2 linked regions of the Drosophila melanogaster genome follow. The protein of the gene in region 2 interacts with the protein of the main gene of each other region in a pairwise test. Each region holds a gene or a part of one and is shown on either strand. Other genes may lie near its edges.

Region 1 (5,161 bases), 1.6 Mb from region 2:
CCATAGCAAATGTATTTGCGGCCTGTGGAAAAGAGTTGTGCACAAAACTAGAGGCTCAAATCAAGCTGGGAGCTGATTCCAAGCAGGTCGTGGATCTGCCCAATCTGCAGCAGCAGCAAAACACCCAGCTGGCGAATGTTCTGTTCTACTATAAGGATTCAGTGCGTCGCATGCTCAGTGATCTTCATGTGCACTTTGAAAAGACACCGGGAACAGCTAGGGAGATTATATCCCGATCCTTGGAACAGGCTGATTTACTGATCGGCACCATTCTACAGCAGATAATGGAGTCGATTATCACGACCATTAGCATCATTGTATTGAGTATGCACAGGGAGCCGGGATTGAATTCGGAGAGGATGTCTACCACAGGTCCGTCGATGTACATGAAGGAACTGCAGGTGGGTGGGAATTTGAATGTAATACTTGGCTAGTCATATGTCTCAATCAAACTATTAGGAGTTCGTCAACCGATCCTGGTCGCATCACATCGCCCTGTTCGATGACAAGCAGATGACGAAAAAGTGCGGACACGAGTTGGCCAAACGTTGCATTGAGCTCTTCCTGCACAATGTGTGCATTCTGCGACCTTTAAGCTCCTGCGGAAGGCAGCGTTTGAAGCAAGACTGTCAACACATGGAACAGGCGTTGAAACCTCTTTGCCCAAATCTCGCCGAGCTGGGAAAGCCGTCGCGTCTGCTAAGAGCCATGTCCTTGCTGATCGTCCAAACGGCCGAGGAGCTGGTCAAGCAGACAATCGGCGAGGACTCTCTAGTGCCCAGTTACATAGTGCTGTTGCTGCTCTTCGGACACGCTGGAGCAGATCTGCAGTCGCCACACACGACGGCCAACTGGTCCAATGAGCGGCTGATCGAATGGCTGGATGGGCACACGGCTGAACGGGAGAAACTAGAGCTGATCTCGGGGGCACTGCAACGGTATCGGGACAATGCCAGGCGAAAGAACATTCAGCAGTACGACGAAGTTTACCCCATGATGGTAGATTATTTTGAACAGGCCTTAAAGGCACTTCCATAAATGTCTAATGTATTATGTATCTAGAACTATGTATGTATGTATGTAAGAGCACGAATATGTTTGGAATAAACATATGCATGGCATCCTTCTATTAAATCATTGTACTCAGTTCCTTCCGCTAAATGAAGCTAATGAGTTTCTTAGAATAACTTATTGAGTGGAATAATGATAGCAGTGAGAACTTGAGGCTAGAGGCTTAAAATTGAAATTATGCGAGGTTGTGTCATATTGTCATTTGATTAAATTAATTTTGGTAGGCAGTTTTGGCTGGCGCTATATGAATAAATGGAATTCCATGGTTAATATAAATGATACTGGTACTTACTCAAAAGACACATTTTGGAAGATGTTTCGTATTAAAAGAATAATTCTTACTTATTCGTCATTAACATTAAGAGGATTTCAAATAAAAATATATCACTACATCGTTTGGAAATAGTTCCTCCGGAATATCGGTATTTATATATTTTTCACATTTATATCGATTTGAAATAGGCATTCAAAACAACGGTAGTAATAACTTTTTTAAACTATCGATGCGTATTCAGAATAACGGTACTAATAACTTGTTCTAACTATCGATGTGTATTCTGAATAACGGTAGTACAAATTTTTCCCAACGGTATATCGATATCCATCTGGGTTTTTACTGTCTCGAGATCTGGTCACTCCCCCGTGCTCACCATTTTGTTTGCAACGTGAAAAACTCTCATTTGAGAAACGCTGTCATCCAATTTAACTGCAACGAAAACTGTGTAAAGTAAACTATAGACGCTTGAAACCTCTGCAAATATAGTGCGTACCACTGGCCAAGAAGATGGACAACATAGAGCGACTGTACAAATGCTACGAGATTCTGTCCGAGGCGGGCGATAAAATATCCGAAGTATGCCGCCATTGCAAAACGTGCCGAAAAAAAAACGGTATATGATACATGGTCTAATATATATATGCATGTTTTTTTCGAATTGCAGCATGTGGATGAATATAAAGAGATACTCAAGGCCGTGAAGGGCACGTCGAAGGAGAAGCGCCTGGCATCGCAGTTCATTGGTAACTTCTTCAAACACTTTCCGGATTTGGCCGACACAGCCATAGACGCGCAGTTTGATTTGTGCGAGGATGACGACACACAGGTGAGTGGGTGCCATAAAGTTACCCAGCTGATACAATAGGCTCGGAATTTTTGGCCTGTATGCAGCTGATGTGTGTAAATAAATCGAAATCCCCTGTAATCCTGCTCCGTATCTTGACAGCTTAAGATATCCCACATATTCCACAAACTAAATATCTTTATCATCCTTGTAGATCCGCCGCCAGGCCATCAAAGATCTGCCGAAACTGTGCCAGGGAAACGCAGATGCTACCATCCGAGTGGGTGATACTCTGGCCCAGCTGTTAATCCTGGACGATCCCACAGAACTCCAGCAGGTCAACAACTCACTGCTGGCCATCATAAAATTGGACACCAAGAGCTCCATCGCCGGATTGTTTCAGCAAATCTCCACTGGGGATGAAACGACAAGGGAGCGCTGCCTCAAGTTCATTGCCACCAAGCTGCTGACCATGGGTCCCACAGTTATTACCAAGGAAATCGAGGACTATATCGTGGAGGAGATCAAAAAGGCTTTGCAGGATGTCACTGCCGATGAGTTTCATCTGTGCATGACAATTCTGGGAGCCACCAAACTGGGAAGCACCATCACGGGACACGCCGAGCTCGTCAAGCTGGCCACGGAGCAGGCGGAGCTAAATAACACAGACGCGGACATCATAGCCGTCGACGACGAGGTGGTGGAGCGATTCATTCAGTGCGCCTCTGCTGCGGCTCCTTACTTTTCGGTAAGTTTCCAATAGCTGCACATGAAATCGAACCCCTGGCGAGCATTTAAATCGAATCTCTTGCCATTCCTATAGAAAACCATCAAATCCACGGCCTTCGTGGCTCACGTTTGCGATAAACTGTTGCCCATCAAGACCTGGAACATGATCGCCACTGCAGTTTCGCAAGATCAAATCCAACTTAGATTACTAAAGGTATTCGCCGAGATGATAACCAACACAGACAAGCTGGACAATGCCAGCGAACGGATTAATGCAGTCTACAATGTATTGCTGGTAAGTGTACTTGGTACATTCGAAATTGAGCGAATAACATGTAAACAATTTCCAGGAATACATGCCTTTGCCAAAGCTGAGTGACGAGGATCTGGGAGATACACCGCCCTCGTTTCAGTTTTCGCACGCCGAGTGCTTACTGTACGCATTGCACACTCTTGGAAAAAATCATCCAAATAGTTTAAGTTTCGTCGAGGATGCAGAGAAACTAAAAGACTTTCGAGCTAGATTGCAATATCTTGCAAGGGGAACACAGGGGTAGGTTCTTGCAAAAATTTTATTCTGTTTACATAATTTATTTTATAATACTTGCCTTGTAGTTATATTAAGAAACTGGAGGAGTCGCTCAAAGGCAAGACGGGAGAGGAGCTCAAAACGGAGGAGAACCAACTGAAGCAGACGGCACTGAAGACGACATCAAACATCAACATTCTGATCCGGGATCTATTTCATTCACCGCCCATATTCAAACATGACATTGTGCTCTCCTGGATTGTGCCAAAAAATGTAAGCACACAAGTTATCTCTTACAGCTGATATATTTATAAACAATGCAATATTCTTGTGCGTTCAGAACAAGCTGGGCAAGCGTCATGCACCCATCACTTTTGGGGAGAAAGCCGCTGCTAACGGCAAGGATAAGGATCAGGAGCCAGAGAAGAAATCGCGGCCATCCAACGATCAGAAGTTTTACTCGCCGCCATCTGGAAAATACTCCAACAAGGTCAACCAGAGCTACGGAAACAACAATCGCACGAGACAACGTGGCGGCGGCGGCGGTGGCGGCAGCGGTGGAGGCTACAGAAACAGGCGATTCAACAAGTACTAAGTAAAGAATCAATCGTGAGGCAGAAGAGCAGCAAAGAACACTTCACTTGAATGGTTTGTCCCTAGTCCGTAGACATACAAAAAAAAAAAAAACAAAAACAAGATATTGGATGCGAGCAGAATAAACACAACTGTTGCGATGCTGCAGCCAAGCAATTTTAAAGGAAACAAAACGAAAGTGGTGAGTATTCCGTGCAATTTTCATTTAACTTTCTCCCCTTTGTCTCCTTTCAGCGCAACATATTTTCATGGAAATTAAATGCAACATTTTTACATCCATTTTACTCATACACTCACGCATTGCTTTTATTATTTTCGTTATAACATTTGTTTTCGCTAAAGTACTTGTGCAATTTTCCAAAACACGCCACGCCTTCTTTTCATACATTTCCCAAAAGAAAGGCGCTGGCATTGTTTGAAATTTATATCACTCCTGTTTTTACCTTCAATTCTGTCAAACGCATAAATATAAGATTATACCAATAACCAAGTGAACGAATATCAATATAAAACCTACTTTCAAGTTGACCGCTTTGAAGATAATGATTTTCAAGCGACAAACTGTTTGCGACAGATCGGCATTTGTTTTAAACCCATTAGTTTTTATTTGACATGTAATATCAAATTAACAATTGTACCATTTAGAGATGCAAATCAGCAAAAAAAAAACCCCTAGCATACATTTCTTGAATTCAATAAAAGCAACATTAAATTACATGCACTGTGTGATATACTTGTTTAATTTTGTTAACGACGGGCAACTAGAAAAATATATGAGGCATTATAATATATATATTTAATATTCATTGAAAATTCGATTGGAACAGCGGCAATTTGCACGGTCATTTATTTATTTCCATTGGATAAAAATGTATATGTATGTATGTATGTATGCGTAATAGAAGCCATTTAAACATTATAAATACATTTATAGTTTCAGCTTAACAACTTAATCTGTGTGCCGCCGATCCAGGCAGGGATCGGGGATCGGGATTCTATCCACTTCTAGGTGCTCGGTGGTGGCTGATTGCCCGGCTGCTGTTCATTGCCAGGATTTGCGTTCGAATTGGGAAAGCCAGTCAATTGGCTGGTCATGTTATAGATCATTTGCACCATGTCATTGGGCAGGGTCGGGGCATTGCCGCCGCCGAACTGCTGGCGAATGGTGTTCATGATC
Region 2 (8,474 bases):
ATCGAGCGGCGATTGACGGTCAGCGGCCGAGTGGTGGCCCTGCCCACGTCCACGTCGTCACCTAGTGACCCCACTCGCCTACCGTCCGGGGATCTACTTCGCTATCTGGAGAACAAAGTGCTGGAGTTTGAGGAGTCGCACTTCTGCGGTATTTGCATGGAGCGAAAAAGGGATGTGGCCTTCCTGTGCGGGCACGGCGCGTGCTCCCATTGTGCCGAAACGCTCCGCACATGCCACATGTGTCGCAAGACAATACTCAAGAAGATCAACCTGTACTGAACGGCGGTAACGGAAACGAAAGAAAAGCAAAGGCGGCAGGATCAGCAGCAATTCAAACAGCAACCAAAGTGGCTTGTATATATACATACACAAAACAAACACACACTCACATTGCCGTGTCATGTGCAAATCGAAATTATTATTTATTGATCACAAACGAAATTTACGAGTTCTTTTTTAATCGGTTCATCATCGGCATCGTCGCAACACGCAACAAATTAATGTGCACCTTCTCGTGTCTAGTTATTAGCCCCGTTTAACCATGTCTGGTAACGATAAATACATAGGAAACTAACTAAAGCATACAAATATTTAATAGTCATTTAAATGCAAATATACAAATATAAAATTATTTAATTGAGTGAATTTCAATCGATGTCGGTGGTTAGCCTACAGAAAATAAAGATACTTTATTTCTGAATATGCTGGGGTGACTTTTAATTGTATTGGTATTTAAAAGGTTTAGTTTAAAATTGAATATATAATAAGTTTAGAAAGATTTTAAAACTGAAATGTTGTAACGGCAAAGTGTGAACAAGTTATTTTCTTTCAGTACGCTGCATAAATTTTAAATGTTTTGCATTTTTGTAAGCATTGACTTGGCAAGCTGTCGGATCTTAAGCTCCGTTTAAAAGTTAATGTAAGCAAAAGCGGCAAAGTACAACTTATAATTGAAAATATACACAAGTTTATTTTTTATTTGAGCGAAACAATCGATACCTCCAGATTTACACGCTAATCGATAACAACGTAGCCAGAAAAAAAGCAAACACGTCACAACACTTTGGCCGCAGTCCGACGCGAAACTAAAGTAAAGGACAAAATGGCCAAACAAGTGGCTGATTACCAGTGCAGTAAGCTCCAGTTGTACCAAAAGCTGGCACTGGTCGTAATCCTGGGAGCAGTGCTTTTCTCGCTCCCGGCGTTGTGCGCCGGCCAGGGCAATCCCAGTTTCAAATACTCGCGGGAAGCCAACGAAAACTTCGATCCGCAGAAGGCTCCACGGGCGGAGCACCATCATCATCATGATCATGACCACGATCATGGACACCACCACCACGGGCACGATCATGATCATGACCACGACCACGGGCATGATCATGGACACCATCATCACGGGCACGATCATGATCATGACCACGACCACGGACACCATCATCACGGGCACGATGAAAGGCACACCAAGGCAAAGCCGGATTTGGGTAATCAACGAACTACCACTCTTAAAATGCCCGAGTTGACCCAAATTTCTTATAGATATGAGCACCATTTGGTTGCACTCGATCGGCTCAACTCTTCTTATCAGTGCCGCTCCCTTCGTGCTGCTGTATATCATTCCCCTAGACAACAGTGAGGCGATGAAGCCGCGTCTCAAAGTGCTTCTGGCCTTTGCTTCTGGCGGTTTGTTGGGTGATGCCTTTCTGCACTTGATTCCTCATGCCACGCATCCACACAGTCATGGAGAACACGGCCACGATCACGGCCATGATCACCATCATCATCATGATGGCGAGGAGCATGAACATGGTCACAGCCACGATATGAGCATTGGTCTGTGGGTCCTTGGAGGAATCATTGCCTTCCTTTCAGTGGAGAAACTGGTACGCATTCTAAAGGGCGGTCATGGAGGACACGGCCACAGCCATGGAGCACCAAAGCCAAAACCAGTGCCTGCTAAGAAAAAGTCCTCTGACAAAGAAGACAGCGGAGATGGAGACAAACCGGCAAAGCCAGCCAAGATCAAGTCCAAGAAACCAGAAGCGGAGCCAGAAGGCGAAGTGGAGATTTCCGGCTACTTGAATTTGGCGGCGGACTTTGCTCACAACTTCACCGATGGCCTGGCCATCGGCGCCTCCTATTTGGCGGGCAACAGCATTGGCATTGTGACCACTATCACTATTCTGCTGCACGAAGTGCCCCATGAGATTGGTGACTTTGCCATTCTTATAAAGTCTGGCTGTTCCAGGCGAAAGGCAATGCTTCTGCAGCTCGTCACAGCGCTCGGAGCTTTGGCGGGCACAGCGCTAGCTCTTCTGGGAGCTGGAGGCGGGGACGGATCGGCCCCATGGGTCTTGCCCTTCACAGCCGGCGGTTTTATTTACATCGCAACAGTGAGTGTCCTGCCGGAGCTGCTTGAGGAGTCTACGAAACTGAAACAGTCGCTGAAGGAAATCTTTGCGCTGCTAACCGGCGTAGCCCTAATGATCGTTATCGCCAAGTTCGAGTAATATCAAAATTGTGGAAAGTTAACACAAAAAAGATCTAATTGCATGTACTGAAAGTGTGCCGCAAACAATTTGAAAGATTTCTGTTCGTTACCTACTCAAAACGATGAGCAACTACTTAAATTTCTTATATTTCAACAGTCAGTAACCGCTATTAGTTCCCAATATAAACAATGCGGCGTTATTTAAGATTTTTTAAGCCTTCCAAATTTGTGCTTCACTTCGAAATGAAATTTTTATAAATAGTCAAAATTACACTGTAAAAAGAATCCTCACTGGCGCTTCTCTCCATTCAGGGTTGTCTTTATCTCGTTGAGACAATACTCGGCCTGCTCTACGGCATCGGGATTCTGGTGTTGCTTTCCCAGTTTCCACGCCAGTCGGCAAGCGTTCTCCGCCTGCGACATCAGGCCCTCGCGAAGATACACCAAACCCAGATTTGCCTGCAGAATGCCTTCCTGGGTGGCATCCTTTAGCTCCTTAGTCAGCTCCATGGCCTCCAAAAGGGTCTCCCTTGCCTCGGCGTACTTTTCCAGCTGTAATTAGTCTAATGTGTTTCAAGTACTTTGGAAGAATAGACGCACCTACGTTTACGTACGCCACACTGATGTTATTTAGGATGGTTACAGAGGCGTCGTTAACGGCACCATAAACATTTATGAGCGTGTCGAAGGCCTCCTTAAAGAGGTTTTTAGCCTCCAGGTATTTTCCCTGCTTCATCAGCAGCTGCCCGAACCTGGAAAATAAACATAAGGAAAAGTATTGAAAAAAGGCTTGGTTAGCGGCAATGGAAACACCTTCAATACCAATTCTTTGTCAAGCCATACAGCTCCAGTATGTCCTTGTCGTCGGGCATTTTCTCCAGTAGCTTAGCCAACTGCTGCAAGGTCCAAGTGAACCCTTGAAAGCTCTTTTCCAGATCCCCTTGCAGCTGAGACATGTGTGCTATCTTGGAGCTGATGTGAAGTATCTAAAGATGAAAGAGATCTTAACTGGTTATGGTGTCTAAGTGGGTCACCCACCTTGGGACTCTCTTCGGTGTGACCCTCGGCAAAAAGCCGTTTCATAACGTCCGTGAATATCTTCTCCGCCTTCTTAAACTGCTCGCGTTCCATGGCCAAATTGGCCATCAGATCAAACACATATGTGATGCCGTCCTTGCTCTGAATATCCTGCGCCATTCGCAGAGCCAGGTGAAGCATTTGCTCGGCCTTGTCGTACTGTTCCCTCTGAATGCACAGGATTGATCGTTTGATGGTCTTGATCAGTTTTTCCTCCGGAGTTTCCTCTTTTTCGTCGGCGCCACCAAACAGATTCAGAGTGAAAGCAGCGGAAAATGCCCAAAACATTCCACCGGAAGAGCCAGAAGCGGGCGGAGCTGCCCAGGACACCTCGTAGCCCGCAGCATTGGAGCACAGCGGTCGACATCCGAATTCTGACCGTTGGTGATAACGGCTTCTCTTCAGCGGCGCAAGATGACAGTAATCTCTGGGATTCACGACAACGCGGAACCTGCCCATAACTTGCGTAAACTTGCAAATATTTCTCACTAACATGTTTAGGGCTTTATTAATTATTTAACTAAAACCTATAATGTTGCAGGTATGGTATTAAAAATTATGAAATAGCACGTATGTAGTGTTGCAAAGCGCGGTAAAGACGTTTTAAAAGTACATTTCGTAACGCTTGATTAAGAACATAGAAGACTTTTAAATAATTTCTACTCTATCATACTTTCGCAAATATATTTATGTTTCGTTAAGATTTCGTAAACAAAGGTTTTTAAATTTTTTAGAGATGACACTGTCAAACAAAACTTTATCGGCAACTTTGGTACCTAACATTTCGTTCATAAGTTAAATCTGCGAACAAAAATAAATTGATAAGTAGAGTTATTAACAATCTCGAATAAAAAACATTTAAGTACATTTGATAAAGTTTTTCGTAATAAGGTACTTCCTTCCCCCATCGCATACGATACTATCGATAGCCGTCAGCGGGGCGATAGACCGAGAGAAAGCATCCCTGTATATTGATGGCGGATTGACGCTCTTTCGCCTAGTAAAATTATTTTTCTTATCAAGAAAAGGTGCAGAATATAACGAGGAGTGAATTCGCAAAGCAGTGCATGAAATAGCTGTGGGTCCGCCGGCTGTACCTACGTTTTATTTCAGATCTTTCCAGCGTCGCAGCGAGTTTCCAGCGATTTTCGGACAGCCATGAGACGTCGCAGCGAGCGAAAAAAGTCGTCGTCGCCCGCTCCGGTGCCGGTGGCAGTTGCACGGAGAAGTCGCCGCTCCCGCAAGGTGTCGGAGAACGAGAAGACCGAGGTCGAGACTCCGGTCGTGGCCCAAAATAATGAGGCCGAATGCCCCAAAGTACCGCCAGCCTCTCAAGAAATCAATGAGGCGCGGGCATCCAGTGAAGAACGTGCCGGATCTGGAGCATCGCCAGTGCGCAGGAGTCGCGGCAGCCGGACGACGCCTAGAAAGCGCACGGAGTCCAAGGGCGGCGACAAGAAGGTGGACACCATACCCGAGGAGGAGCCGGAGAATGGAAAGGATGTTGAAAAGGACGCTGTCGAGGAGGAAAAGACTGTAGCGCCACCCGCGGCTAATGAGAGCGAGTCCGAGGACCGTGCCAAGACGGAGGATCAGCAGGCTCAAGACGATGAATCCTGTGCTGAACCCGCTGTAGTCAAGGATGATGATGTTGAGAAAGAGGACTTAAAACCGCAGCAGGAGGTCCCCACTTCCACTGATGATGACACCAAGCAGAGCGAGCCAGAACAAGAGGTAAAGGTTCCTTCTCCTTCCAGCAAGGATGAGGAACATCTAAAAACGACTAGTGATGTATTAGACATTCAGACAGAAGAGGTCGATGAAAGGGACGAAGAAGCCTCCGCTCCTGCGGAGCGCAGAGAAACCAAGAAGAGGCACAAGGAGCAGATAAAGGAACAGCAACCCGCAGAGGAGGAGGAACACAAGGAAAACCACAAGCAGATAGACGAAAACCCAGAACAAATTCACGATGAACCAGCAGATCTTTCGAACGACAAGCACGATCCATGTCTAAACAGCAGCGCAACCAACACAACCGGTGCTCCAGTTCTGCAGCAACAACGGTCGGTGCGGAAGCGAAAGTGGCTGACTAACAAAAAGTCTTCGGATCGTACCCCGCCCGTGCTTGCCATTTCGACGGATTCCCTGAAGAACATTATAGCCGATGTGGTGCAGCCAGTGCCCCTAAGCGATGTGCAACTGGAATCGTCCTCAGAGGAGGAAGGCCTGGTCACCAGCGATCGCGATTCAGAGCGATCTGCTTCACCGGCGCCCCCATCTGAAGCAAGCAAAGACCGCGATAACAAGGGCAATACCGCCAACACCTGCGACACCACCGCAGAGGCGTCGGCAGATAATGAAGGAGCAGGAGCCGCTCCTCCAGCAGCAGCAGACACGGTTTCAGCCCAGGTCAGCCTGAGCAAAGCCACAGTTTCCACGGCAGCACCACACATAGTCCGTGACCCTAGTCCTGCTCGAAACCGCGCCAGCCACGTGCTCTATATCACCAATTTGGTACGCCCCTTCACAGTGCTGCAGCTGAAAGGCCTGCTGGCGCGGACGGGAAAGATCGTTGAGGAAGATGGTTTCTGGATAGATCGGATCAAGTCTAAGTGCTATGTTGCCTATTCCACTGAAGAGTAAGTATTGTAGTTGCGCAAATAGAACCTAATCTCCAGGGAGTCAGTGAAATATGCCTATAAAAAACTCACACTTGCAATTATTTTGCTTTTCAACCTTTAAGCGAGGCCATCGAAACCCGACATGCCCTGCACGGAGTTCGCTGGCCAGTGTCAAATCCCAAATGTTTGAATGTAGATTTTGGCAGTCGCACTGATATGGATCGGGCAATACTTTCAACGAAGGACGAGGCTCCGAGGTACGGGCAGGAAAACACCAGAGATAACCAGCAGTCGGGCAACGCTTGGTCCCGGTTGGAACCGTCTGACAAAAAAGTAATGGATTATTATCACAGCATAGAAATGCGGAGCTAACTTGTCTTTTTCCTTCAGCCTGCGCGACCTGTACGCGAATGGGATGTTGGCAAAAAGGAACCAAGCGACCACGACAAACACAGCAACGACAGGCGTCGGGACAGCAAGGATCGACTGGACTCGAGGTCTAGGGATGCGGAGCGAGCCGGACAGGAACGAAAGCGTTCTAGGGACAGAGAGGGGCGAGGACGCGATCGGGAGCGGGAGCGACTTGATCGCAATGCACATGCAAGGAGCCGCAGTGGATCGCCAGGTAAAGCCCGTGGGATACATTTTCCTGTCATGAGAAATTCAAAAACACCCCGTTTAAATAGCGTCCAAAACTAAGAAGGAGAATGAACCGCCTATCAGACTACTAGATGATCTATTTCGAAAAACCAAGGGAACACCTTGCATATACTGGCTGCCACTTACGCCGGAAGCGGTAAGTTGCTGAGATAAATAGTTCCAATCAACGAGAATCACTTCTAGACCAAGTCCGCCTGAACAATAAAATTTCTTCCGGCTTTCAGATCGCAGAAAAGGAGGCATTCCGTCAGAAACGCATTGAGGAGCACAAGCTGCGTATTAAGGAACGGGAGGAGCGCCAGAAAGAGCGGGAGAAGGATCGTGACCGCCAGCGCGAGACGCGTCGCAATCGTTCCAACGAACGGCGACGATCTCGCAGTCGCGAGCGGGAGCGAAGACGTTACTAGGCGGAGGCTTGAGATTGAGCAAATAAATGTTGATATCTCAAAAACTAAATCAACATATAAAAAAAAACTTCAAGAAACAGCAACTAAAACTTCAGCAGGGTCTCATCACCACCCGAATAATTTCAATTCTTTTCTTTCGAGCGTTTTGCGTTCCCAATTAGGCCGACGTTTGTAATATTCAACTTGAACTGAACCGACTTCAAATTGAATACTTTCGCCAACGTCTCATCCACATTCTGATTTTGAGATTTCAAACTCTCTTTTCTTCGTTATTTTTCTCATTGTTGTTGTTCCATATATATATAGCATATATATTTCCATATATATATATATAACCTGATTTGATTTCTTTCCTCAAATGTAGCATTTTACAGCGCCTAACGTCACCTCACCCCAAAACGAAACCACAGCAACCAGAAATGCGCCGGCATCAGATCAGCATCAACGCCATGGAAACTTACCATCGGACTCTTGAAACTACTGCAGCAAGTTACCATGCTTATATCTATTCAATAAACAAACATAAAATAATTGATTAAAATATTGTAAAATCAAATATTTCTTAAAATTTTAATGAACTTAGAAATACAATTTAACATCAGTCGGCAAGCTTGTGACAATGCCAAAACCCAAAAATGTGTTTTAAATGTCTGAGAAATATGCTTATCGCACGACTTATTCGAACAGAAAAAGAAAAGAATGTAATTCCTCAAAATTATAGAAAATGTTTTTGATTCGTAAGAATCATGGTATTTAGAGCATATTATTATAATTTTAATACTCTTTAATTTATATATAAGGTCAGATTTATAAAGTATGAACTTTTTGCCATTTATTTACTTTTCCTTATCAATTTTTAGTAAAAACACTGCTTTTATTAATAATCGCGAGTCTAATTTATTGATTAAACTTAAAAAAGAATAAATGAAGTTGTCCGTTAAAGTACCAGAATACCCCCAACAATAAGTTCGTTTTAATCGATAGTCCATGTTAATAAGCTATCGGAGCCGCTTAATGATTTATGTCAATAGTGCTATCGATGAGTTTTAATTTGTATTAACATTAATTTAGTGAAAAAATGTGGTCCGACACAATATTAATTGTTTTTATATCGGTTTGCACCGCCTTCCTGGGCGAAGGTAAGTAAAACGCCAGTTAATTTAGTTAACCCTACATATTTGTTTGCCTAGGTCTTACATGGGTGATGGTTTACCGGACGGA

What was found. Proteins that work in one complex are often made in the same cells at the same time.
Region 1: the proteins of Acn (region 2) and cass interact in a two-hybrid assay, tested with the Drosophila melanogaster proteins (2 studies listed by BioGRID).

Annotation. Positions count from the first base shown.
Region 1 is NT_033779.5:17,474,412-17,479,572, reverse strand, and holds cass (cassowary), read left to right. Parts: upstream 1-1,684; 5' UTR 1,685-1,855; coding exon 1,856-1,924; intron 1,925-2,012; coding exon 2,013-2,174; intron 2,175-2,346; coding exon 2,347-2,880; intron 2,881-2,955; coding exon 2,956-3,156; intron 3,157-3,211; coding exon 3,212-3,414; intron 3,415-3,476; coding exon 3,477-3,663; intron 3,664-3,730; coding exon 3,731-3,985; 3' UTR 3,986-4,661; downstream 4,662-5,161. Other genes in the region: fws (four way stop), read left to right, coding at 1-401, 460-1,038; Sgt (small glutamine-rich tetratricopeptide containing protein), read right to left, coding at 4,990-5,161. UniProt on the Drosophila melanogaster protein: Antiapoptotic factor. Also known to efficiently suppress E2F1-induced apoptosis.
Region 2 is NT_033779.5:19,040,844-19,049,317, forward strand, and holds Acn (acinus), read left to right. Parts: upstream 1-4,511; 5' UTR 4,512-4,723; coding exon 4,724-6,204; intron 6,205-6,308; coding exon 6,309-6,519; intron 6,520-6,576; coding exon 6,577-6,811; intron 6,812-6,872; coding exon 6,873-6,982; intron 6,983-7,070; coding exon 7,071-7,253; 3' UTR 7,254-7,974; downstream 7,975-8,474. Other genes in the region: mib2 (mind bomb 2), read left to right, coding at 1-279; Catsup (catecholamines up), read left to right, coding at 1,103-1,481, 1,537-2,507; Ttc19 (tetratricopeptide repeat domain 19), read right to left, coding at 2,777-3,040, 3,093-3,240, 3,311-3,474, 3,527-4,060; CG10470 (uncharacterized protein), read left to right, coding at 8,332-8,392, 8,444-8,474.